Oryzias latipes: one gene and its partners. The protein of the gene in region 5 purifies or fractionates together with the protein of the main gene of each other region. This does not show direct contact. Links are inferred from orthologs where the notes say so. Each region holds a gene or a part of one and is shown on either strand. Other genes may lie near its edges. The genes, in order: mediator of RNA polymerase II transcription subunit 26, polr3h, rpap2, polr1e, polr2h, polr3d and polr3e.

Region 1 (2,163 bases), on a different chromosome or scaffold from region 5:
CTCCAATGTAGAAAGGGAAGACTGTCTTCTGTTTGACAGGGATTCTTAGAGGGGTTCAGGTCGGAGCACAGACTGCAGAGTGGTGGATTAAGATGTCTCTTATGTGGGTCTCCATGGAGAGGCCGGATTGAAGGCAAGCCGGATCCTGCCCACGACCCTGATTTAGACAATTTGACTGAACTCACCTGGTTATCACAGGTGTCTGAGATGGATGTCAGTGATCCACACCATAATCCATGAGTTTGATTTGAAAAATTCATCTTTTTGACTCTTAAATACAAAACAATTGCATAATAATTTGGAACACACTGTATAAATGTGAGGTAATGAATCCCAAGAGAAGCATACCAATTTGTTATATCTGCATTTGGTGTCAATCTTTATTGAATGTTGTTCAACAGTGTGGATGCCAGCATTGTCTTTGAACTCATGAAACAACTGTCTGTTTTTTGCAGATTTGCAACATGGTGATTGTGTTGGAAGTAATTAACTGTCTGGAGAAATATCCTATCACCAAAGAAGCACTTGAGGTAAAGCGTGCATTCCTAAACAGATACTCCATACTGAAAGGAAAATACTGACTTTCTTCTCTGATTTTCTCACATATTTTACAGGAAACGCGACTTGGAAAACTGATCAATGATATTAGAAAGAAGACCAAGGATGAAGATCTTGCAAAGCGCGCAAAGAAACTGTTGAAAAACTGGCAAAAACTGATTGAACCTGGGCCAGTTGTGGCACCCAGTGTCACTGGGTCGACAAATGGCAGTTCTCATCTGTGCCGAACCGACCCCTCTCCTCCAGAGATTTCTGTGTTGGGGAAAGGATTTGCTGATGTTAGGATGAGAAATTATGTTCAGAACACGTATTCACCTAAAGCTGAAAAATCAAGCAAGCGCAAGGTAGAGCACAGCAGACTGCACTTAACAGAAAACCTCTCAAAGACGTCTACATATGATAATTCTGTCTCCCCACTACCCACCAATGGGATTGCTGGCAGCCCAAGAACCCAGTTTGAACAAGATGTCACAGTGTCTCCTGGTAAATGCCGAGTAGATCACCTTGATGACGACAGAGTGAACAGAACTTCAGTCAATTCTGTCAGGCCTTGTCCCAACTCCCCTGGGGTGGAAAAACTACCCAGCACTTCCTCTTTGGTTAAAGTTGCAGTAATCCAGCAACATGCCAGGCTGGAGGAAGAAGGAGGGAGCTACAATCAAGGCAAGAGTCCTCGCAGTGTCACTTCCAGTCCGCGGAGCCAGAAGCATGACTCCTTACCAAAGCGCTCCGTACCATATGGACTGAAAGGAACGCCAATCCCAAGTCCTTCTTCCAGAGACTCTCCCTTATCCTTTTCCCAGGCTTTGGCTTCTCCGGGTCAACCATCTTTTGCTGAGAAGCTGCCCCATTTATCTCATAAGCCTTTGTCACACACAACCAGTTTGTATGAACCCCAGGATGTATCTGGAACTCTGGATTCACCATCAGCCTCCCCTCTCCTCTGTCAACAGAATACAGAATCCCAGAGATCAAGATTGGAAGCGGGCTTTGTGGTGTCTGATGATACTGATAGAATGACAGCAGCCAACTCTGAGCATAAAAGGAGGAAGTACAAGTCCAGAGACTTCTCTATTAACCTGGATGGGCAGAAAGTGGAAGACACAACTAAGAGAGTACGGTTAAAAGAACGCAGACTAACGTTTGACCCAGTCACAGGTCAGATCAAACCTCTGGTGCATAAAGATCCTTCTCCAGTAGAGGTGTCCTCTACTCCTGATCCAGCAGAGTTTAGGCAGAGAACAGAAAGTTCTGTCCAGCAGTCGGCTGCCACAACAACAAGTCCTTGCCCTAACCCTTTCCTCCAGACTAACTGGAAAGAGCTGTCTAGAAACGAAATCATTCAGTCTTACTTGAACCTTCAGAGCAATTTGCTCACCTCTTCAGGGGTTCAGACCCCCAGTGCACACTTTTTTATGTCAGAATATCTCAAAAGGGAAGAACAGGAGACCAAAGAGTCCAAGAAAATGCACGTTTTGCAGACAGACAGCTCAAAGGGGGATTTACCAGGCATGAGTCGGCAGTTGACGGACAAGGACTTGGAGAGGATCCACACACAACAGTGGCCAGGAGTAAATGGTTGTTATGACACCAATGGCACCTGGT
Region 2 (3,670 bases), on a different chromosome or scaffold from region 5:
TTGACTCAGTTAAATCTTTCAAGTTTTCTATCAAATTTAAAGTAAAGGGTTTTTACAGGGGAAAGGGGAGGAGTCTAAACCTACTTGGTCTTGACGAAATAGCATCTTTCCAAAGATGAAACAAACCGCATATGGAAACTATAGGAACTTTTTCACACCTGCCCATGTAGGATTGACATTATGATTTTAATAATACACCTTTAGTTGAAAACTTCATGTTGGGTTAACTTGTGTTTTCTGTCTCATATTTTACTAGTTTGTTGATCTAACACATTTTATTTAGTCAAATGGCCCAAAACGAAATCAGAATAAGCAAACACCTAATCATGATACTATGTAACTGCTCTATTATGGCAGATTGATATCCAATTTATTTGTAGCCTACACAAGAAATTGCAAGTTATTGTCATCGTGATATCAGCCTGTGCAATATGTGCACTGAAGACAGTGTAAATTATGATGAGTGGTTATCTTAAATGTAAATAGATCCCTTAATGCATTTGACCAATTGGATGGACCCCTTTAATCTTAGATTCCCGCCTCCTTTGTAGACAAGGGTCATTTGCTGTATAATTGAAGTTATTTTGATTTTTATTGAAATAAATCTGATGCAGTGAAATGGAAATTATGTAGTAGTTTTCTGTTTTGCTTTATGTTCATTCGTCAAAAGTCATATTGTCATTGCAATATTGATGACAAATATCACACATTTATTCTATAATGCTTCTTTTTTGTCTTAGGTGGTTTTCAACGTGGGTCTCTGCATTTGTCTGTATGACATTACTAAACTGGAGGACTCCTATATTTTCCCAGGCGATGGCGCTTCACACACCAAAGGTATGACAGCAACAGTATTACTGTGACAGTCTCTGAATACCTTCAGTTAATCATATTGACGTCAGTCAAACCAGCTCACAGTCCTTCAATCTTTCAGTATTTTCTTTTAACACATAGATTTAAAAAAACACACATTAAAGATCTAAATCCTATTTCTGCTGACATTCTCACCTTTGTTGTCAGTTCATTTCAGGTTTGTTGTTTTTCACCCGTTCCTTGAGGAGATCCTTGTTGGGAAAATCAAGTACTGCAGTCAGGAGGGAGTTCATGGTAAGTATCATGTTTTCTTTAACACAGCTGACACAGATGTGTTCACACACATGTGGAAATATTGTTTGCTTGTCTAACTATGGTCTCTCTGCTTTACAGTGACGATGGGCTTCTTTGATGACATCCTCATTCCACCAGAGTCTCTGCAGCAGCCTGCAAAGTTGTATCCAACCTTACAATTACTGACTCTGCTTTATTAGACTGTGTTTGCTGCGTAAATATGATGCATTTGAGGAATCCTATTGATACTAAGTGTTATACAGTTTAAGGTGAACTTTCCTAATCTGAAACTCCAGTGATGAGGCTGAGCAGGTTTGGCTCTGGGAGTATGAGACCGATGAAGGGGCTCATGACCTCTACATGGACCAAGGGGAGGAGATCCGGTTTCGGGTAACAGACGAGGTCTTTGTGGACACGTCTCCAACAGGTCCAGCTGCTGCTACGCCTGATAATGCAGCACAGCCGGGACAGTCCACAGCAGCACCTGCAGAGGAGAGCACAGAGAAGAAAGAAGCGCCGTACACACTGATAGTAAGAGTTCATAATGCCATAAAAAAGCGTTTTTGCAAATACACCTATCGTCAAAACTTTTTAGCTCCTTTGCCATTACATATGTTTGTACCTTAGTGACACTCCATTCATAATCTAGAGGAATTATTATGATGCCATCAGATCCTCTGCAACAGTAGGAGCTTCAGCTCTTTTTTTGGAAGACTTTCCACAGTTTTAGGAAGGTTTATTGAAGTTTTTGACTGTTCAGCTGTAGCATTTGTGAAGTTTGAGACTGATGTTTGCCTGGCTGTCAGTCTTCACTCTGTTGCATCTCAAAGTATTCTGAAATATGCAAAATATAAAAAGTGCACATCTTAATCCAACACCAGGAGCTGTTCTTTGTTTTTTTTCCCTAAACAGGCTCAGGGTATTTCTGTACTTTTAAGAGGGATAGATAGTTTTATAATAAATGGAAAGTGGGATCTTTTTATTTTTTTAAACAGTCATGTGAGTCCTAAAAGGTGACAGTCTGCTATTTGGGTAGTTGGGGTTCTCTTCTTGGACGAGACCCTTAACCCCACAATGGTCTCAATTATAAGAAGCCTATAATCTTTAATAGAAAAAAAGCTAAATATTTAAATGTAAATGTTTGATTGTGTAAATGCAATAAAGCAGTTACATACATTTACAGTCTTAAAATGCTTTCTGGGATCAAAACCTTAATAATGCATATCAAAAACTAAGTGCAAAATCATGTAAAAAACAAAATTTGTCATAAGAATTTCATTTTTGTTCTTATTAGTGATAAATTTGTATTACATCTTTATTTTATATTTCTGTGTTTCTATTTCAGGGCACCATCTGTGAGCCAGGGCTGGGACTGCTGTCATGGTGGAACAATTAGCACTACAGAGGATGGTTTGTCCCTCATCACCCGAGACCTGCTGCTCAGTCAGCAGGAACAAAAAACCAGCATGAAGAACTCTATAGTTTTGTTACAGGAGTACAGATGAATTGAGATCGTCAGTGTGAAAGCAGCCGATACCAGTTTCATGTTTACATGTACAACTCACTGTGATGTGTTGAATGGCAATTTATGTTTGATACATTTCCTGTGAGAGTTTCTTAAAACTATGAGGAAATAGTTCATTATTTTTTGTTAAAGAGGATTTTATTCAAATGCCTCATCATTTAAGGTAAATAAGCAATGGTCTTCTGTGCTTTCTGAAAGTCCGTGTACATATTCTGAATTGAAAAACAAACTACTTGACTTTCTCTTGTGAGTTTATCAGTCGTATTTTTCTCTGCTATGGCGGGAGAACAGGTATTTCTGTAAGCAATTCTGCAAGATGTGTCACTTAAAAAGATGAGAAGGGTCTAATGTTCATCATATTTGAGAGGCAGAATGTTAAAAATATTCCAGGAAATCAGATCATTTGATTTTTAAAGAATTTATTTAGTTATTAGTGAAAAAATACAAATTTAGCTCCTACAATCAAGCAAGAATTCTGTTCTTCATAGACCTGTTATAAAGTCCCACTCCAATAAATGTTTGGATCTATTTTAATCTATTATAAAAGTGTGGCATTTTTTCATCTGCTCCTGATTCACCACAATTTGAATATAGAAATACTCAGTAAGGCACTTTTAATCTTAATTTTCTTTATGTCTATAATGAGAAAAATGTCACAAGAACATTTTCAAAACACCAAAAACACAATTTTGAATGGAGTGGATCTGTAAGTTCTAGCTTCCACTCGTTTCTTGCAATATTGGTTACTGTTTTAACTGGTTGTCAGTGTAAAAGACACCTGTCCACCCTTAAACAGTCAGACTCCAATGTCTCCACCAAGACCACAGAGCTGTCAAAGGACACCAGGGAGAAGATTGTTCACCAGAGACAAGACTAAGACGAACCAAATTACAATAAGGAAGGAGCTTGGAGAGAAGAGTTCAAGAGTTATACTGTATTTATCCCACAATGGGAAATTTGTTCTCCGCATTTGACCCATCCCCTGGGGGAGCAGTGAGCTGCAGCCGAACCGCACCCGGGAGGCAGTAGCCTGGATGA
Region 3 (4,160 bases), on a different chromosome or scaffold from region 5:
TCTTCCTTTCTGTTATGATGACGGGGGGCAGGTGAGCAGGCGGCTCCGTGCAGGAACCTGATGGTGTGATCGGTGCACCAGGCTTTCAGAGTCCTCCTCAGGGTCTCCAGGAGGCTCGCTGGCTCCCGTTTGGCTCCCGTGCAGCTCTGCCTCCCCAGCAGAGCCCGCAGCCCTGCAGCTCCTCGCCTGCTCATGCCCACCTGGGTGATGTGGAGGCCCGGCAGGGGGGCTGCTGCTGTCTCATGAAGAGTGCACTCCCTCATCTGAGCTGTTACCTCTTCCAGTTGGGGGCGCTCAGGTGAGTCCTGTGGCTCAGCCTTGCTTGTGATGGGACCGAGCAGCTGTGGGGGTTCAGGATGCGGCCCCCTCGTGTCCTCCTGTGGAAGGCGACTCAGACATTCAGTCCCGTCCGTCCCCTCCTCTCCTTGGCTCCCGTTCTTGCTTTCACCCGTGCGGTCAGCCCAGTGAACCCGGGGTTTCTGCTGCTGGAAGGCCACACTGGAGACAAAGTCCTGCTCCCCACCGCTGCTCTCATCTCCAGCCGAGCTTTGATGATCCCCGCATGGCTCAGCGGGGGCGGCAGCTTGTGGTTTCTCAACGTCTTCCTCTTTGAGGCGCTGATCTGACAGCAGCACCTCCTCTCCGGAGCTCCCACTGGACACACACATGCAACACGTTACGCTCACTCCTGCAGAGGGACGTGCGGCCGCGGGCGCCGAGCACACACCTCTGTCCTGCCGTCAGCAGCCTGATCTTCGGGGGACTGTTGGCAAGAGAGAATTTTTACAAAGACACTCCACCCGAACGTCGAGTCTTACAAAGGCGGAGCAGTTCACAGACCTCTCCAACTTCCTGAGCCACAGAGGCGTCTTTGGGATCTGCAGCTCAAACTCTTTGGAGGCCTTGTAGCAGAAATTACTGCAGAAACGCTAAAGATGACAAATGAGGTCACCTCTTCTGTCTTCAAACTGCGACTGCACTGACAAAGTTCGTTCTTCTTCTGGGAAGAAACTCACCTTGCGCTCTGTGATGTCATAAACTCTGTTCGTCTTGGTAGAGATTTTGAACTGCTGAGACGGGATCTGCAAAGCAGGCAGCAGCGGTTAGACGAGGAAACCCAGACAGGAGCGTCAGCATTACCCTCAGTGGAGGGGCGACGTCTTACTTTGCCCAGCTGCTTTGGACATGTTGGATAACCACACAGCTTTAAGATGGACCGCTCCTCCACAGCATCTCTGTAATTAGCTGGAGTGATGAACTTGGCCTGAACAGAAAATGAGCCTGTGTGTTAAAACCCTTCTTAACCTGACTGACAACAGGTTGACCTCTTTATTAGTGTTTTCTTGTAAATTTCTACCTCAAAGTTTTCCCCATTAGCTTGTGCAAAATTCATTTTCTTTCTGTGCATTTTATCAATTACTTGAAACAATTATTTCCTTATAAAGATCTTTAATAAATGTATCATTAGACAGAATTTTCAAGAATTATACAAAAAAAAAAACCTAAAAGGATTAAGTTGAATTTAACAACTATCTGTCTGTTACATCTTTAAGTTGTTTTGTGTCTTTCTGCTGTAGTTTGCAGTGTTTGATGGTTTGTGGTCTGGAAACCTGGTAATGTTTGTGGGCGTGGCCTTTTCAGCTGGTTTCCCTCGCAACCCAGATCAAAGTGAAGGTGTTATCTAAAGATGGAGATGTTCATACCGACTCCAGGAGGAAGTCTTCTGCCACGCTGCTCTCCAGGAGCTGCTCCACCACCTCCAGGGCTCTCCTCTCCAGCTCCAGCTGCTCCCTCAGCGCATCCTTCCTGGCTCAGGGAAGGAGACGGATTCATTCAAACTGCGCTGCCTACACTGGATCATAAACCTGAGAAGAAAGCCTTCCAAACCTTCTTCTGGCTTCTTCTTCGGCGGTCAGAGTTTTGCTGCGTCTCCCTGCTGTCACACAAACACGAGATTTCACCAGGACATAGACGGAGCCCAGTTCAGTTCATCTGCTAATAAAATACCAAACACGTCCGTCCAAACTACTCAAACCAAACCTTTTCTGGACGTTTTCCCGGGATTCTTCATCTTCCCCTCCGTCGCCATGACACTTCCAGTTCAACTTTGACCTGTGACGCAGTTTTTCTACGGCAGCCGGGGTGGTTCAAACACGCAGCGTTCAGGTCGCGTGCAACAGCAGGAGAGAAGGTAGGTTCTCACTTTCCGCGCGTCTGTTCGTTTTCTGCTTCCAAGAGGAGTTTAATGCGAACGTTTGTTCACGAAAACCCGAGACAGCAGTCCGAGAACGAGCTAACCAATGCCGGCCTGCTTCTGTGAGGGCCGAGGCGGTGCCGCCCCGGTTCTGTAGTGTGTGGACCGAGGCGGTGCCGCGCCGGTTCTGAACTCAAACATCAGCTGCAGTCATGGTCGCCGTTCTGTTCTCTCAGCTGGCTGTCTTCTCTCTCTCATTGGAGGAGCTATTCTTTGTAGGAATGCCAATCCAACAGCCCTCCTCATTAGTTAAACCCTGATGTCCCACCGCACAGAGTTTTGGGTAATTGAGTTTATAGAGGATGGACGTTTTCAGGCTGTTTCTGTGTGCAGGCTGCACTCTGCAGAGGAACTTCATGGTTTTGCTCACGTCGTTACGTCCTTCAAAGGCAAACGTTTGTTTAATTTCCTTAACAGACGTGACATGTTTGTAGGTTTATGTTGTAACATGACACCTCTAGACTACAGTTTCACGAAGCGAATCTCTCTCTTCTTGTCTGAATAAGTAATATCTCACAAAAAACGTGTTCTTTGTAAATGTTAAAATTTTGAACTGCAGAATGATTCAAACGTTTTAAACTTTAAACAGTCAAATCAGAGAAAGCACAGTTTGGTCAGCAGAATTGGTACATTCTTAATGTAATGGAAGTAGATGAATGTTTACTGCTGGTATAAAACTAGAACTTCATAACTGAAAGACCTGCAACATCGATGATCTATGGAGCCTACAGTCTAGACCAGGAGTCAGCAAACTACTGAACTATTAAATCTGACCCTCCAAACTGGAATAAGTGATATTGATAACCCTCAGGATTGTTTTCATTTCCCTGTAGTTCTGGTGTCTCCCTATAGATTCTGCACTTTTAGGTGTGGAAAGTTATTCTGCATTGGTGTGGTGCTGGAGGATTTGTGCATTTTCCAAGTCAGGAAGGCATTTTTCCGAACATTCCAGCACCACATGAACGCAGCGTTTCTCTGAGTTTGTGTTTTTTCGCTGAGGGACATCATATGTGGAAATGGCACCAAAATAAAAAAAAACAAAAAAAAAAACTCAAACGTTCTGTTTTCAAATATGCATATTCCTTTTTCAAAGTTCAAGCATGTTTTCATCCAAATTCCTTGTTATTTCTTGGATGATGAAATGACTCCTCCCATCTGCTCCTGGTTCTCGCTGTCACATCGTTGACCTCTTTGTGGCCCCCCCGGTCAAAAGGTTTGCCCTCCCCTGATCTAGACACACTTCTCTGTATGATCTCCATGGTTTCTACTTTGCTTCCAGCACAGATGGTGACAGTAAGTCATCAGTACAGACATAGAAAAACATCATCATCATCATCATCATCATCAGGACACTCTGATCTGAACTGTTGTTTTTGAAGGACTTCCAGGAAGGACAGACTCTGTCCAAACGGGACTGATGGCTCTGGAGCGATTCAGCAATGTGGTCCAGCTGTGTGTGAGTGTCCACTTTCTTTATTTTATGGTTTTGTTTTCTTGAAATATCCCATGAGCAGCCAGGACAGAAGGTTCAAAGTTAAAGCCTGTGTCCTTTCTGTGTCAGCATCTTCTGGAGGAAAGGAGCAGCTGCAGATTTAATATGAGCAAACCTGTGTGACCGTTTAGGAAAGAGTTCCTGAGAATTCGGATCGATCGTCTCACATGGGCCATATTCTTGTGTTCTGTACCTTTCATCATTTGAGGACACGTTTGGAGTGAAGGAATCTCATCTCCAAGAGTCAAGTCCAGATCCGTCATAACACTGGAACTTTTTGGACACATTTTTAGATTTTTGTTCAGCCTCTTTCTGTGAGACACACAGAAGAAACCTGCTGGATGTTATGCAACTGTAAGACAACATCAGCAGCATTCATGTTTTACATGATACGGAGTCCGTGTCCTGACATGA
Region 4 (4,103 bases), on a different chromosome or scaffold from region 5:
GAAGGACGTGGACATCAATGATTTCACAGGGGGCTGCCCAACAGATCTACCACCTTGACTGTTTCCCAGCTCTCCCTGCTCCCTGGATCATCAGGTGTGTTTAGCCACTCAGAATGTGAAGTTACTCAGAATGTGAAGTTAAGTTAATCAACAAGACAACAAGTCTTAGAAACATTCTGGCTTTTTGGGCTGACTTCAATATGTCATTATCAGTGCAAAACACACACATTTGACTTCCTTTTGACTATTTAACATAGACATAACTAAGGAAAGAATTTGAAGGTCAGTAGATTGGGGGTTTAAATCCAAGACTACACAGTCAAAAGTGTCCTTGGGCGAAACACTTAACCTCACGTTGCCTTGGATTGTAATAAACTAGTGAGTCACTTTGGTTAAAAGCGTTTCCAAAGACTCAACATATAACACACACAAAAGAAGGAAATTTAAGTAAGCTAGCTAATTTTTTTTTCAGAATAATTGATTTAATTTTATAGAATTCTGTGGCCTAAAATAGAATTCAATATCTTACTATGCGATAACCGTGTTGTAACATTTATTACATTCAAAAACTTTGGGTAATTAGTCGTTTTAAATTCCCCAAACTTTATATTTTTTTATCGCAACTTGATGATAGAGAATTCGGTTACTGCAAAACAGACCTTAAAGAATAGCTTGCAAGTTTAAACTGGACAATCATGTGGGTTATAAACAATAAATAACATATACTAGATTTTAAAAATGTCAAATAGCACAAATTACCTTTAAGTCTTCCAAAAAGTGTGTCCCCGAAGGAAAAAAATTGAGAAAATATTCAGGGAAAAAAAGTGAAGAGGCTAGTAGTGAGTCTCGTTAGCAGCCGCGCGGCTAGCCAACTCCTTCTAGCTATATAGCAGCACCAGCGGGTGCATTAGGTCTCCCCAAAAGATCGTCTCCGCCGACACCCTTTCCCCCACAAAATGTCCCCTCAAGTGCAGCTACCTATGGCTAACCCTTCCATTGCGGTGTTCATAACATCTCCTCTAAGCCACTTCCTCGTAGTTCTCCAATACAGTCTGAACGGCGTAGTAGTTCAACTGTCGAGAAGAAGGGAGTTGCGATGGTCGTTAGCTTTAGGATGACCGATGAGCAGGATACAACTTCAGAACAATATCATAATACCGATGATCTGGTGTGTTTCCGGCGCTTACCAAGCAGCACGTTTTGCTTAATCTATACGAACATTTATTCAGACGGCTTTTTTTCCCCATCCAGACTCACAGGGTGGCGCTGCTGCACCTTGATTGAAATGACCTCGTTGAGGTAAAGCGCAGCAGTTTGAATGATTCACCACAGGGTGTCGCTGTCGTTCGTAAGTGTCTAGGATGAAAACTATTGAGCGAAATGGTTTTAAATATCTACTTTATTAAGACAGGTGTTGTGAATAATATTTACGTGTATTTAGAAAAAAAATGTTTTTAGACAGCTTTAAGAAAAGACAAAAATTCGTCATTGACCAAATTCACTGAGCGTTACGTTTTACGTAAATACAGATGAGTGAGTCCTCTCGCTCCTTTCACAGATCACAACAACAATCATGGCCGCCTCGTGCAGGATGGTGTGCTGCGAGGAGGAAAGGGAGTCTGACAAAGCGATCATAGGTAATTATTCTCATCTCAGCCTTTTTGAAACAATAATCTCTAAAGCAGGCGAGCATACAGTCAGTATTTGAGTTATCTGTGTTGCATTCAAGTGTATAAAACTATTCCATTTTTCAGGAGTAATCAGAACACGTGAAAGTTACAAGGCAATATTCTCACACATAATCAACATTAACACGCCATTCTCTGTATTTTTTGCAGTCCGATTTTCGAATGGTTTCACCAGCAATGCAGAGGAACTGGATTTTGCCACATTCAAGAACATAGAAGAAAATAATCCGAGGAAAAAGATAAGGCGGATCGTGGTGAGAAATTGCGCATGCGTGCTCGCACACACCATAGTTTGCATGGAATTGATATATTTCAAGCAATCAATATAACATCACACTGAAGAAGAAATACAAATCCACTCATATGTTTATCAAACTTAAGATGGTTTGTCATTTTTTGATTGTAAAATAAAAAATGTTATAAGAGATGCATATCCATATATTTACAACCACACACACGTACATTATACCATAATAATTAAACAAAAATGACAGATTCGCATTCATTAAATATGTAACAGTTGTCTGTTCCATTTAGGTTGCTGAATCAGACAGGTTGTCTTATGTCGGGCAGAATTTTGGAGAAGATTTAATGAAATGCAATAATCTTTGCAGGTTTGTTATCATTACATTTTATATACATTAACATTTGATATAGACCTTTCGTATCCTTATCGAATGAGTTTTGTGATGCAATTATTTTCAGATATTATGTTGGAGTTTTGAATAAAGAAACCATGCAGATGGAGATACACAGCGCTCAGCTATTCAACATGCAACCTGTCATACCAGGTAAAAGAAATGCAATCCCCAAAACAATAACAAGCGATTTTTAAAGGAGGGCAATTTAGTAATGCCAGTTAATTTCCACCAGGAGAGGCAACACATGATGCAAAGCCTCAGGACACCACTCTGTCCTACAGGGAAAAGGTATGAGAAAAACAAGCTTTCTTTTGAAACAAACAAGCACACAGTGAAGTCATGTTTTTTTTTTCTTTCTCAAGGTTGACTCCTTGATTGAGGCCTTTGGCACGAATAAACAGAAACGAGCTCTGAGCTCTCGCAGGCTCAACCAGGTGGGCAGTGATGCTCTGCATCATGCAGTGGCTGAAGCTGCCAGCACTGTGATTGATAACAAGGGTCTGGAAGGTAAGCGTGAAGCTTTCAGCCTTTTGGAGTAATCTAGACAAGAAAATATAACTCAAATTCATACTGGACTTGCCATCATTTTTTTTTTACTACATGTTTTTTTCCCCCTTTTTTTCTTGTTAGCTCTGCAACAGGAAGTAGCTGAAACAGAGTCTCAAGGAGCCCTGTCGTTACACCTACCTCCCTGCAATGCAGATGCAGACAAAAAAGAAGATGTCTACCCCTTTGAAGAGCGTATCTTTTTAACATTACCCCCCCACCCCCAATTTGAACAGATATTGGAAATTACATGCATATGTAGTTCGAGCAAAAGCAGCACTTTTCTCCATCCTTAATTTGACTTCAACAGTACTGAGTCCAGTAGAATTTGCTGCTTTGGAGCCGAACGGTCAAAAGATGACGGCACTAAGCCAAGAGGAGCTGCAGAAGTTGAAAGACCAAAGAGGGTATGGTAGCAGAGAGCATTTTTGTCTTATTAGCCTTATTTACTTATTATTGAATTGAAATATTTCTCTATTTCTTACCAAAGGAATCTGTGTGTGATGAAGCACCTGGAGAACATGCCATCCGCAAGTGAACCTAGAGAGAAAACTGCTCGCTGCGCTTTTTACCTGTCTCTCCTCATCAAACTTGCCCATCAGAAGATTGTCACTCGCAAATGTGAGCAGAATTTTGGAATCTCAGTTATTGAAGTAGTAGATTCTAAATATCGCTGATCAACACGTTAAAATGCCCTGCCCCTAAAGTTTTGTAATGTATGATGCTTTTTCTATTCCACCCGTTTTTGTTTGCAGTTTGGACTGAGGAAGGTTGTCCTCGTGTCATTCAAAGTAAAATTCTCCGAACATTTACAGTGGAGACATACAATAATGGCAGGTGTGTATGCGACAGTACCCCCTCTTTTGTTAAGGTTTAAAAAAAAAAAAAGCTGACAAATGTGTTTTGTGTTCTCCTTTTAGGGTCCAGAACATTGTGTCGACATCAATGCGGGCCAAAATAGCAGCTCACAGTCTGGCTCTGTTGCTGCATTTGGGTGACATGACTGTTAACCTCTCACTGCTTCACCGTGACCTGGAAATCAATGAGGCCAGGTACAAAAACCCCAAATTCTCTCCCTTTAAAACATCTTAGTTATTTTACCAACTGATTTTCCAACCCGAACATAAGACGACTCTCTCTGAGGCACCACCTTTCTCTCTGTGTGGGTTTCGCACATTTTATGACAACCTAGGGTCGGACTTGGCAGCATGTCCCAACATTTGCAAAG
Region 5 (4,004 bases):
TGAATGACACGAGTCTTTGAGTCTCTGAGAGCGTTTCCTCGAGGCTTGGAGACAAGTTTGCCTTTGCTTTTACATTCTTTGTCAAAAATTTGAACCGTTTCTTCAAATTCCCCAAACTTCAGGTACTAAAGAGAACAAACACAAAGTGTGTTAATTATACAATCACCATCGTGGAATACATTGAAATGTTAGATCAACTATCAGAATAAACAGATTATGGATTTTAATTGCAGTTTTTTTCTTCACATCCCTATCATGCTTTACCTCTTTAATCATCCCAAGGAGATCGGCTTCAGTTGCCAAGATGTCTCCCATCTTGGCTGTCTTAGTTGAACTCATCCGTGGACCACAGCTGTCAAAATACCGGCCGTCATTTGGGGCTCAGTTTGAAATTCCTTTGCACTTACAAAAAACAGGTAACAGTCTGAACAGACAGAATAGCACAGACAGGCAAAAAGAAAAAGAAAAAAATACTTCAATAATTTCACGTTTTAATGTAAAGATGACCAGTCTTGCTTATTCGAACAAGAGCAAATAATTACAACCTGTATTAACTTGTACGGTTTCAGTTTTCTTTCCGAATTATTATTTGTTTGTTCCAACCGAGGTTACTGTAGTTGTATTCAATTCAATTACATTGTATTTATAGCCCAATATTTACAGCAATAGTCATCTCAATGGGCTTCATTCCGGTAATTGTGTAATAAACATGAATCATAAAGAACATAAAGTCATAGAATTCAATAGCTGATTGCTAAACTAAACAGAAGAAACTAAGTGGACATCCCTGCCCTAAAACTAAGACCATCCTAATGTTACTACTATGATCAAAAAAAAATTATTTTCATCTTTGTATGCATTTTATAGCGGAAAACACGTTAACTATAACGGCAGAGATTTGAAGAGCTGCAAACTGCAGGAAGCTAGTCAATAATTGTTTCAGTCAGGTTTGTTCACATGATGAGCGTTCCTTACCTCGTTTGACCATCTTTTCTTGGTAAGAATCCGCATTAGAAGTTTCATTAAATATTTTATTTATGCTTAAAATGTATATTGGTAATTATTTTTTCGATATAATGACGCTTATGGTAAAAACAACAGCCTTAACATTAGCTAGCAACCGTCCACACAGAGGACGCTAAACGCACCTAGCAACAAGATGACGACAGACGGAAGTTAGTAAAAACTGTCGTAAAATTAGTTCAGTTGTTGGTTACTTAAATTATCAGTTAAATAATTGAGAGAAAACAAATACTTTTATAAAAATCTTTTTTTTATTTGCTACGTAAAATTTAGCCAAAATATTATTCGTTTTTTCCCCATCTTTGACCTATTGTGAGCCTTCAAATAAAACGGTAGGCAAATTTAATTGGTGTTATTTTAGTGATCATTTTTTCTACATTACACCATCGCAACGCATTTTTCCCTTTCTAAAAAATGTATAACATTCAGTAAAGCAAAACATGCGTCTTTCTTTTAAAAGAAAAAAAGAGACAAAAAAACGGAAGTTCTTGTTATGTCAAAGGTCGAACACGCTGGTTCTGCGCGGTACCGACTATTTCGCTTAATAATGAATGAAAATCTATCTAAATCAAATATCTGACGTCTAGGTTACATTATTATCGTTTTTACACGAATTCACCACATTCCAGGGCATACTATTTACACAAAAATACAAGAACAGCACTTGGGGGTAAGTATTATATTTTGTGTGGACAACATGATGCTACAGTTAGCGCGTAAGTGAACATTGTTAAAGTTGTCCAAAGTTGTGACAAGTTTTGTTCACCCACTTTGACACGGTGGGAGAGCTTTGTGATTTCCATTTGTTTTGACCTATTCCTTTTTCTTTTTAACTTGTTTTTAATTAATTATAGTCAAGATCGGGACCAGAACGCTTAGGAGTGACCAGGTTAGACAGGATAAGGAACGAGTACATCAGAGGGACGGCCCATGTTGCCTGTGTTAGCGACAAAGTCAGAGAAGCCAGAATGAGATGGTTTGGACATGTTCAGAGGAGGGATAGTGGATATATTGGTAGAACTAGAAGGATGTTGGAGATGGAGCTGCCTGGCAGGAGGCCAAGAGGACGGTCAAAGAGGAGATATATGGATGTCTTAACAGAGGACATGAAGTTGGCTAATGTTAGGGTAGAAGATGTTCATGATAGAGTGAGGTGGAAAAGGATGATTCGCTGTGGCGACCCCTGATGGGAAAAGCCGAAAGAGAAAGAAAGAAGAAAGAAGAGTCATAGGAATTTCACACTGAAACTGTGAAAAACACAATATAGCACTCACTGCTATAGTGTGTTTTTCTTGATTGACTTGGCTACGTAAAATGCTTTGCTGTGTGACTAACCTTCCCTTTTAATTTTGTTTTATGATGAATCTGTTTTAGGTTTAACAGAAAGGGATAAAGATGGCTGGGATTTTGTTTGAAGATATTTTTGATGTGAAAGACATTGATCCAGATGGCAAGAAATTTGACAGAGGTATGTGGACTGTCACTGTAAAAACACAAAAACGATCTTCACCAGTAGATAGTTTCAGTTGTAAAAGTCATAATTACAATTGTATATTGCATTTTTGTTCATATTGTGTTAAGTGTGACTAAAAAATTGTGTTGTCAGTAATTACAGCTTTTATTTTATTATTTTATTACAGCTAAACATTACAGTCATCACATTACTGAGTTGGGAAACCTTCAATCCTGCTTTTTAGTAGCTTTAAAACTAACACAATAACAAACATAATCATTATATGCATTTGCTTGAAAAAGATGGATATCTAAAAGCGCGTTAGTCAGTTTCATAATGTTTTCAGTTCTCTTTAATATAAACTAATACAGGTTATTATTACTTATACTGCAGTGTCTCGTCTGCATTGTGAAAGTGAATCTTTCAAGATGGACCTGATCTTGGATGTAAATACTCAGATTTATCCTGTTGATCTTGGTAAGAAATTAACAATGTCCTTTATTGTTTATGTCTTGTTTGATCTTAGACATTTGGCCTTTGTGGAGGAATTTTTAAATTGATTATTGGTAGTATTTAGTGAAACTGTCATTCTTCACTCTTGTAAGGTGTTGGTGCAGAATTGATAAGTTATTTTAACTCAGTTTTGACTCAATGTAAAACTATTGTATTAGAAGTGTAGCTTGATCTTAGGTGATTATGTACATTGCTATGATAAATCCAGATTTTTTTTTGCATGTTTCAAAAAGGGGACAAGTTCAGACTGGTGATTGCCAGTACATTATATGAAGATGGAACGCCAGATGATGGAGAGTACAATCCCCAGGATGATCGACCATCTAGGCAAGGCATTTAAAGAAGATAAATGAACATCCATGTCTTTCAATCTGTGGCAGATAATGTGTGATGCTTTTGATTCATCTTCCATTTTTAAATTGTTTCTAGGGCAGCTCAGTTTGACTATGTAATGTATGGAAAGGTCTACAAGATAGAAGGCGATGAGACCTCAACAGAAGCAGCCACGCGTCTGTAAGTTCTACACAAATGCATGTAGATCATTACAATCCTTTATTTAAGTTAAAAGTCAAGTGCTGTCAATTTAGTGATTAGTAAAAATTTAAATAAACTGTATGTATGTGTAAATGTTGATCAAGTCCTCTAATGATGTGCTTGTTCTTTCAGCTCAGCCTATGTGTCTTATGGAGGCCTTCTCATGAGGCTGCAGGGAGATGCCAACAATCTACACGGCTTTGAGGTAGACTCCAGAGTCTATCTCCTCATGAAGAAGCTGGCCTTTTAACCCCCCTCCTCTGTTTTCTACCGCCTTCATCCACCTTTGTAAAACTGGGATCTAGAAAAGTGGAACATATGAACATCTTAGAGACAAAACACCATGTTTTTGTAAACCTCTGTTGTATTTTTTATAGTTCCTCCAACAAACTACACTGAGGTCTGTGATTTCCACTTGGTGGTACACTGTAAATAAATATTTCTTTCTTTTATACAAAACAATTACAAGTGTTGATTAACT
Region 6 (4,010 bases), on a different chromosome or scaffold from region 5:
CTTTCCCTGTTTGATCAAATTGATTTATTTAACTGCATCTATTTATATTTTTCACATATTAAAAACAAATATTTTCTTTGCACTCTGAAGGCCTATTGGATGTTTCCTTTAACAGATTATTTGTATTATTACTATATCACACAGTAGGAACATTCATTACTTATATCACAAACTCTATTTTAATTCCTTAAAAATGTAAAGATGTGAGTTTCCATTTAGAGTTTATATTAGATTTAATCTGTTTAACTGCATGGAAATATTTAATCTTACTGTTTTATTTAACTGCATGCAGTTGTTTGCATAAGGTAGCAAATGGATAGTTCAGTTGGCTCTGTGTAGGACTGGATCATGGGAAACCAGGATCCGCTTCCCAGGGGCCACAATGAACTTGATGCAGTGTGGGCCCTTAGGCAAGACCCTTTGTTGTACTGCGTAACTATGCAGCCACAAGGGGGCCCAAGTCTAGGTTCCCCTGTGCCGGTCCCCAGCTAGGATAAAATACAGGGTTGTGTCAGGAAGATCATCTGGCGCAAAAATCTCTGCAAAGCTACCTGTGAGAATCAGGGAAAGCTGATTCGCTGTCGAGACCCCAGAAGGAATATGCTGAAAGGCGAGAAATATAAAAGCGTGAATGTTGCATAAGACTATTTTGCTGTAAGACAGAAAATAACCAAGGAAACAAGTGCCCAAACAAATGAAATATTTATTATTATTATTATTATTATTATTATTATTATTATTATTATTATTATTATTATTATTATTATTATTATTATTATTATTATTGTTAGTAGTAGTAGTAATATAATCAGTTCCCTTAGCATGTCAGAGGAAAATAACATCTTTAGAAAAAAAAAATTTCCAATCTCGAAATATGCCATATCTTTTGGTTCTTCACATCTGAGACATTTATTTCAAAACATTCAATAACATTAATCCATGCAAAAGATTTTTATGAATCTGACAAAACTTGCAGGAAAACTAATGCACGATATGTCAGAACTCAAAATATAATTTTCATTTAGCTGTTTTAGGAAACATTTGGAAAGACTAGTATAATCGTTTATCTAATCTTATCTTTTTTATGACAGTGAATTTTTTTGGACTGTGGATTCTGAAATAAAACATAAAAATAAAACAAAATAATGTTTCTAAGCATGCGCGTTTTTCTGCGCATGTTTGATCCTCGAGAGCAAGTTGAAGCCAAAGCGGAAGTGTCATGGCGCCGCTAGTGAATGCAGCGGTGGACGAGGCAACAGGATTTTGTTTCTGATATCTGGCAGGTTTTAGGGGGGAAAACTCCGAATAAGGACCACCGAGGACGTGTCGTGTAAGTTTTTGGAGAACTGCAATATGTTAAGACTTCCTCTGGACAGCTTTCGCGTTGTTTGTGATCTATCTTACTAGCCACGTGTTTCTGTAACATTTTTCTTCATTCATCGTATGTAAATACTGGTTGTGTATTTAAATCACTGACAAATATCATTGTAAACACAATTTATTCTCAATGCTTAGACTCGAAAGTTTAAGAAATCATTCCTAATTAATGTCTTGAATTGCTTACGTTCAGAACCACAACAGAGTAAAAAAGATAAAAAGAAAAAGGTTACAGAACGGACTGAAAGTATATTTTTGTTTATCCCGGTATTATTACAAATTACATTAATGTAAACCTCAATAACATTAATTTTAGGTATGGGGTCTAATGATTAATTAATAAAGTGACACATCAAAACAGATTTTGTGGCTGAAACAAGTTGATAATGGATTCAAATCGAACTGTACCATTATAAAATCCTTTCAAAATTATATTAAATTGATAATCGATCTTGGAAAGTACCATTCAGATACATGCTTGGTTTTTTAACTATAGCGTAAAAACGACGTGATGGTGATGTTAGCAAAGAAATGTCAAAGCATCATTCCATTGCAATGTGTGGAAAAACAATTAATTTAGAAAAGACATGTGACCATAATCACAATAGTGTTCAGAAAAACAGCAGAAATCATTGATCGATTTTCTGGTCTTGTTACAAACTAACCAACCTCCAGCTGGCACAGAAACATGCCCTCTTGACTGTGAAGGAATTGAGCGTCCCCGCACAACAAATCAAACATACCCTGTAAGACGCGCATGCTCAATGTGTTTGTTTAGGGAAATAACAGAATTCTTTTTTTTAATTGGACAATTGCAACATACAGAACAAGAGAATGCAACAATTATGCACATATAATGTACAGTAGAATAAACGTGTTACAACATTAAGAAAATTTTAATTATTAGAAGCAATCACAAAAGGCAATAACAAATAAAAATAAATAAATAAAATAAAACTAAACAAAGAAAAAAATAAAATAAAGTTAAAAAAAAATAATAATAAAAAGAGAAAATACGAGAGTAAACTTATATCAGTAGTCCAAAAAATTTACAAATTTCAATTGTTTTTTGAGCTTTTGTATTTTTTGAAGATGAAATTAAGTTTAAATATTGCTGCAGTTCAAGTGACAGAATTTGTGGACATGAAGGGAGGGACACGCAAATCCCCTTTTGTAGCGATGATAAGACACTAAAAATCTTTTCTTTATCTTTTTGCTAATTTTAGTGTCACGTGCTGTTGAGCATTGCTAATTTTCTTGCAAAGATGTATTACAAAAACAAGTGCGTTGATCTTATTTTGCGAGATAACAGCTGGTTCTTTTAAATTTTGGCATAGGGGCCAAAAAAACAAAACAAAAGAACTTCTAGCCTGTAGCTTTACTTTGAAATCCAATGATTGGCGACACACGAGGATGAGGGGCCATAAATAAACGTCACAGCTGAGATCACCTGGTCAGAACACAGTACTTTCTCAGGAAGTTGAGGCAGGCCCTCTTCTTTCAGGAACTGCTGGTCAGGTTTTATAAGGCCAACAATGAGGGTTCAGTTCTAGTGCCGCGCTGTCTGAAGGCACAACAGAGGACAGGAAGACCGTGCAGGAAGTAGTAAGAACAGAGGGGAGGGGGATAGGAAGTGCACTACCAGACTGATTGGGAAAGAGTTGTATTTGGAAAGATGCCACACACCCTGGACATTACGTAACTGTTTTAAAGGCACACGCCAACAGAATCCAGAGTAGTGTTTCACCTGGCAGTAAAATGTGTGCAACCTCCTCATAAAGACATTTGAAAACAATTTTTATGTAATATTTGTGTATTTTCCTTTTAAACATCACCATTGTCTGAGAGAGATGATGATGAGTATTATTGTTGGCCACCAGGTTGGGAGTTTGACATCCCTTTAAAGTTCAGGATGGCGGACTCCGGGGAGTCCAGCAGTCAACGCGTTCCCACTCCTGCAGGCGCCAGCAGCAGCAATGTAGGACTCCAGATGGGGCGTCGACCACCAGCTGGACTCTCTCCTGGACGCCTCCCTTCCATGCGGTCAAGGGACCTCACCCTGGGAGGAGTGAAGAAGGTTAGCATCATACCTCACTCGCCATTTAATCTTTGGGTTAGGAATTGTGTTAGATGAGTTAATCACACCAGATATATTAAGAAACCCTTCTGTAGCTTCTTTTGCCCTACTTGCAATCATGATTTTTTTTTTCTAGATTTCAAAAATAAACAGCTTTTCTTATTACTCATTTATCTTTTTTTTAATTTTATAGAAAACCTTCACACCCAACATCATTGGCCGAAAGGTTAAAGAGGAGTAAGTTGATTTTATTTCTAGGATTGAAAAATGCAGTGAAGAACAAATAAAATTCGTGTAAACTGAAGCTTTAACTGTTTTAAAAAAAAAATTTTTGGTTGCAACAGAGCCAAAGTTGAGACTGATCAAAGGAGAGATCGGAGAGGTGGAGAACGTGGTCGAGGGCCGAGAGACAGAGGCAGGGGCCGAGGTCGCCAAGAGATCATCCAGTCCCATTCTATCTTTGAGCAGGGGCCGGCCGAGATGATGATGAAAAGGAGAGGTGGGGGGCCAGCAGGACTAGCATATGCAGTTTGCTGCTGCAGCTGAACTGCCATTT
Region 7 (3,500 bases), on a different chromosome or scaffold from region 5:
GTTTTGTCCTCAGCGATGTTCTGTATCCAAAAAACACCTGCAGTGCTCACAGCGGCGTTCCGGCTGAAGTGCTCTGTCGCGGCAGAGACTTTGTGGTGAGCTGCTGACCCCGTTTGTGTTTTTCTGTTGGCATGAATACAAAGAAAAGTGAATGCTCTGGCTTTACATGATACATATAAAACTAATGTTTTATTCCTCAAGATTTGGAGGTTCACTCTGGAGCGTTCTGTGATGAGAAAGGAGATCGCATCCATCATCAAAGTAAGAACCAATGATGTCTTGATTTTAAATGTAACACATTTTTTGTGTGCTGTGCTGATTTGTTGCTTTTTTTCCTTCTTGAAATCTCCCTTTTGTCCAGTGGGGTAACCAGCTTCTCTTCTTCTTCTGCCCCCTTCAGCTTCCTCCGGAGGACGTGAAGGAGTTTCTGGAGCACGTGGCCGTTCCTCGGGTCAACCGCGGCTGGGAGTTCCTGCTGCCCACGGACGTGGACTTCATAAGGAAGCATCCAGACGTAGCACACCGACAGAACATGCTGTGGCTCGGAATCCAGAGCAAGTATGACGAACTCGAGCCACTGAAAAAAAAATTCCTTTTTTGCCTTTTTCTTCAAAAAAAAGTTACCAGTCGTTTCCTTAAAGGTTGGAAAAGGTGTTTAATGTCTGTAAAGAAGACTTTTTGCCCAAGAATTCCCCTCAGCCTGGTGAGGACAAGCTCTACATGGCGTTTTTAAAATGGTGATGATTTTGTCTTTACTTTTCTGACATCAGTGTGTTCTGCTCCAGAGCCCGTCCACATCAGCGGGGACCAGCGCCTGAAGATGGCTCAGGATCGGGCGAAAGCCAACCAGTCGTCCCTGCAGAAGGATCTGGATGCTAAGCATGCAGGAAACATCGTCCACATCAAGCAGGAGCAGAGTAGCGACAGAGAGGACGAGCCAATGGACACCTCCTCGTCTTCTGCCCCCAACGGCTCGATGAACGGTTACCCCGCCTCCTCCCCCTGCTTCGATCAGGTCAACGGGGGGAGCCCCGCGAGCGTGCCGCCTCCGCAACTGCTGGACTTTGTGAAAAAGACTTTCCGGAAGCATTTTGTATTGACCTTGAACGAGCTAAAGCGACTCTTTAACCTTCACCTGGCGTCTTTACCGTCTGGACAAAGTGTCTTCCACTCTGTCTCTGATCACCTGCTGCAAGACGCCATGCTGCTCTGCCAGTGCAAACAGATCCTGGTGCCTGTGAGTATTGAGGTTATACTTGATTAACTCCTTAAATATAAAATGATCTAGAATTTAAATAAACTTTTACTGTTTGTGCATAAAAAGTAATTATTGTTAAGATGCATCCTGATTCACAACAATTTGAAAAGAGAAATCCTCAAAAAATGCAATTTTTAGCTTAATTTTCTTTATTTCATGTCATCCATTTTGAGAAAAATGCTGTAAGAGCATGTTTGAAACACCAAAAACACTGCTGCAGGATGATTCAAAGAAGGAAAGCTTTTGTGTACGGAATGCAAAACAACAGGAAGCATAGAAACCACTGATCTTGTACTACAGAGACTACATCCGCCCATCAACATTTTAGAAGAACAGGACCTGAACCACTGATGCTGCTGAACAAAATCTGTTACTAAGTAAAACTCTTGTCACAATCGTAAAATAGTTTAAGTGGCATTTGCAGTAAGTCTGGATGTTGTTGCAGATGATTTGTATTTGTGTCTCAGGCTTCCTGCTGTTGGACCACAGTGCTGCTGAGCAGGCTGGTTGTCGGTTCAAGTCTTTTCTTGTGAAACAGATCTTCAGACTGATTAGAGGACTTGGTGGTTTGGCTCCTTTGTCATGTAAACCGACAAAGAGCTAATTTCAGTGTAAATGGCCTCTTTCCATTTTAGCTCTGATTTATTCTCATGTTTTAAAGCATTTATCATGTTCTGCTTGGATTAAGAACCGCTGCTCTGGATTCCCACAGCTGCTAAAAGCCCCCAAATGCTGGTATCAGTTTTCTTTTCTCACTAACGACTTTTAACAGTTGCTTTTAAAGAAGAAGCCTCACTCAGGTGATGTAAACCTCTCAGGGTCTATCAAGGCCATCTGACGCTGGTGTACGGTTCTAGTACTCTATTACTCTTTTGGGTCATGGCTCAGAGAGAACAAAGAACTCTGGTCTTATTTTCTCTACACTGTCTGTTTTGGAGGATTTTAAGACACTGGCCTAAAGCCGTCTCTGTTATGCAACAGGTGATTAGCCCCAAAGCAAAGCTCCTTACAGCTCTGAAGTAGCTTTACTGCAGGAGGTTGTCTTCTTCAACTCAACCAGATCAAGACCTCAGTTTATCATTTATTTATCGCTTAAAGCTCCACTCTGATCATCTTTTGATCCATTTTTTAAAGCGTTGCCATTGTAGGTTCTACATCACACCCAAAAGCTTTTTCAAACGGCATTTTTCTGTCTGCTCCTGATTCCCAACGATTTAAATAAAGAAATATTTAAAAAAAGCAATTTTAAGCTTAATTTTCTTAATATATGTCCTTTATGTTTAACAGGAACATGAGAAAACAACAACTCCATCTTAATCGAAGTGCGTCTTTAAAAGAACCACTTATGGATCCGTATTGAATTCTTGTCAGGAGAGAGAATCCAGTTCTCTTTACAGTCTAACTTCCTATCTGACCATAAAATAAAGTTAATGAGCTGTAATTGATGCAGAAATGCTTTTTTTTTTATCTATTGAAACACCATAAACCAGACTCTGACTACACAGTTCTCCTAGATTTGACAGTGGATGTCTGGACTAGTTGTTGATGAGCATCCTGAAAACTCTGCCTCAGGTACATCGAGTATAGTCCCATAACTATGACTCGACTCATTTGTCAGATTAGTAGGTTTTGTGTCTAGAAATGGAAATCATCAGAAATGAACCTTTTTTTTTGTCTGTTTCTTCAATGTTTTAGTTTCCTGCACAAAGCAAAGCAGCTCCTGATGAACAAAAAGTGTTTGGATTGTGGGAGAGTGGAGACAACTTTGACCAGGTAAGAGCACCTTCAATTCTTTGTGTATTTCTGCTTTAAATAAACTCTAGAAGAAATCCGATTGAACTCAAACACTTGTATGATTATAAGTTTCTGGCTGTAAATGCTCATCTAAAATCATTAAAGGGAATCTTTTATAGTTGACTTTTTAGCCGTTTCCTGAAGGATAACTCTGTGAAACCATTAAGGTCAAACATGTTTTCCCGCTGCAGCATCGTCGGCTGCTCTACGACCTCTTCACCAAAAACTTCCGGGTCAGGAGGGGCATGGTTCAAACCAAGCTGTCGCAGGAGCTCGGCGACACGTCGAAGGCCGATGTCGACAGAGTTCTTCAAGTAAGAGGGCGTGGCCGAGGCTGAGCATCCACCTCCAACCAGCTGTGCCTCATCATTCCAACCTGCTGTCTATCATTATAGGAGTGCTGCAGCAGCCACGCAGGCTGCTGGTACCTTAAAGGAACGGTACCATC

Evidence for each region.
Region 1: the proteins of polr2h (region 5) and mediator of RNA polymerase II transcription subunit 26 purify together in Homo sapiens (affinity purification with mass spectrometry; 3 studies listed by BioGRID and IntAct, with this or other methods). This does not show direct contact. The link is inferred for Oryzias latipes from reciprocal best matches to the Homo sapiens genes POLR2H and MED26.
Region 2: the proteins of polr2h (region 5) and polr3h purify together in Homo sapiens (affinity purification with mass spectrometry; 5 studies listed by BioGRID and IntAct, with this or other methods). This does not show direct contact. The link is inferred for Oryzias latipes from reciprocal best matches to the Homo sapiens genes POLR2H and POLR3H.
Region 3: the proteins of polr2h (region 5) and rpap2 purify together in Homo sapiens (affinity purification with mass spectrometry; 3 studies listed by BioGRID and IntAct, with this or other methods). This does not show direct contact. The link is inferred for Oryzias latipes from reciprocal best matches to the Homo sapiens genes POLR2H and RPAP2.
Region 4: the proteins of polr2h (region 5) and polr1e purify together in Homo sapiens (affinity purification with mass spectrometry; 3 studies listed by BioGRID and IntAct, with this or other methods). This does not show direct contact. The link is inferred for Oryzias latipes from reciprocal best matches to the Homo sapiens genes POLR2H and POLR1E.
Region 6: the proteins of polr2h (region 5) and polr3d purify together in Homo sapiens (affinity purification with mass spectrometry; 4 studies listed by BioGRID and IntAct, with this or other methods). This does not show direct contact. The link is inferred for Oryzias latipes from reciprocal best matches to the Homo sapiens genes POLR2H and POLR3D.
Region 7: the proteins of polr2h (region 5) and polr3e purify together in Homo sapiens (affinity purification with mass spectrometry; 3 studies listed by BioGRID and IntAct, with this or other methods). This does not show direct contact. The link is inferred for Oryzias latipes from reciprocal best matches to the Homo sapiens genes POLR2H and POLR3E.

Annotation. Positions count from the first base shown.
Region 1 is NC_019875.2:6,560,887-6,563,049, forward strand, and holds part of mediator of RNA polymerase II transcription subunit 26, read left to right. Parts: intron 1-455; coding exon 456-530; intron 531-614; coding exon 615-2,163. UniProt on the Homo sapiens protein: Component of the Mediator complex, a coactivator involved in the regulated transcription of nearly all RNA polymerase II-dependent genes.
Region 2 is NC_019866.2:19,484,386-19,488,055, forward strand, and holds the end of polr3h (DNA-directed RNA polymerase III subunit RPC8), read left to right. Parts: intron 1-740; coding exon 741-837; intron 838-1,020; coding exon 1,021-1,107; intron 1,108-1,206; coding exon 1,207-1,270; intron 1,271-1,403; coding exon 1,404-1,638; intron 1,639-2,452; coding exon 2,453-2,503; 3' UTR 2,504-3,170; downstream 3,171-3,670.
Region 3 is NC_019875.2:5,934,870-5,939,029, reverse strand, and holds the start of rpap2 (putative RNA polymerase II subunit B1 CTD phosphatase RPAP2), read right to left. Parts: upstream 2,801-4,160; 5' UTR 2,090-2,800; coding exon 2,041-2,089; intron 1,937-2,040; coding exon 1,888-1,936; intron 1,807-1,887; coding exon 1,704-1,806; intron 1,265-1,703; coding exon 1,166-1,264; intron 1,083-1,165; coding exon 1,017-1,082; intron 930-1,016; coding exon 841-929; intron 764-840; coding exon 728-763; intron 655-727; coding exon 1-654. Other genes in the region: glmn (glomulin), read left to right, coding at 3,672-3,710.
Region 4 is NC_019859.2:12,631,185-12,635,287, reverse strand, and holds the start of polr1e (DNA-directed RNA polymerase I subunit RPA49), read left to right. Parts: upstream 1-1,303; 5' UTR 1,304-1,318; coding exon 1,319-1,348; intron 1,349-1,558; coding exon 1,559-1,637; intron 1,638-1,838; coding exon 1,839-1,942; intron 1,943-2,225; coding exon 2,226-2,302; intron 2,303-2,393; coding exon 2,394-2,479; intron 2,480-2,561; coding exon 2,562-2,617; intron 2,618-2,691; coding exon 2,692-2,836; intron 2,837-2,959; coding exon 2,960-3,070; intron 3,071-3,185; coding exon 3,186-3,282; intron 3,283-3,365; coding exon 3,366-3,496; intron 3,497-3,630; coding exon 3,631-3,712; intron 3,713-3,795; coding exon 3,796-3,927; intron 3,928-4,103. UniProt on the Homo sapiens protein: Component of RNA polymerase I (Pol I), a DNA-dependent RNA polymerase which synthesizes ribosomal RNA precursors using the four ribonucleoside triphosphates as substrates.
Region 5 is NC_019862.2:11,777,309-11,781,312, forward strand, and holds the start of polr2h (DNA-directed RNA polymerases I, II, and III subunit RPABC3), read left to right. Parts: upstream 1-1,204; 5' UTR 1,205-1,355; intron 1,356-1,502; exon of another isoform or gene 1,503-1,693; intron 1,694-2,397; 5' UTR 2,398-2,418; coding exon 2,419-2,491; intron 2,492-2,869; coding exon 2,870-2,953; intron 2,954-3,222; coding exon 3,223-3,316; intron 3,317-3,418; coding exon 3,419-3,502; intron 3,503-3,655; coding exon 3,656-3,773; 3' UTR 3,774-4,004. Other genes in the region: lisH domain-containing protein ARMC9, read right to left, coding at 1-125, 265-339. UniProt on the Homo sapiens protein: DNA-dependent RNA polymerase catalyzes the transcription of DNA into RNA using the four ribonucleoside triphosphates as substrates.
Region 6 is NC_019867.2:17,411,597-17,415,606, reverse strand, and holds the start of polr3d (DNA-directed RNA polymerase III subunit RPC4), read left to right. Parts: upstream 1-1,210; 5' UTR 1,211-1,330; intron 1,331-3,257; 5' UTR 3,258-3,289; coding exon 3,290-3,454; intron 3,455-3,647; coding exon 3,648-3,691; intron 3,692-3,798; coding exon 3,799-3,953; intron 3,954-4,010. UniProt on the Homo sapiens protein: DNA-dependent RNA polymerase catalyzes the transcription of DNA into RNA using the four ribonucleoside triphosphates as substrates.
Region 7 is NC_019877.2:13,135,777-13,139,276, reverse strand, and holds part of polr3e (DNA-directed RNA polymerase III subunit RPC5), read left to right. Parts: intron 1-13; coding exon 14-95; intron 96-201; coding exon 202-261; intron 262-400; coding exon 401-558; intron 559-641; coding exon 642-703; intron 704-785; coding exon 786-1,237; intron 1,238-2,953; coding exon 2,954-3,031; intron 3,032-3,243; coding exon 3,244-3,366; intron 3,367-3,447; coding exon 3,448-3,500. UniProt on the Homo sapiens protein: DNA-dependent RNA polymerase catalyzes the transcription of DNA into RNA using the four ribonucleoside triphosphates as substrates.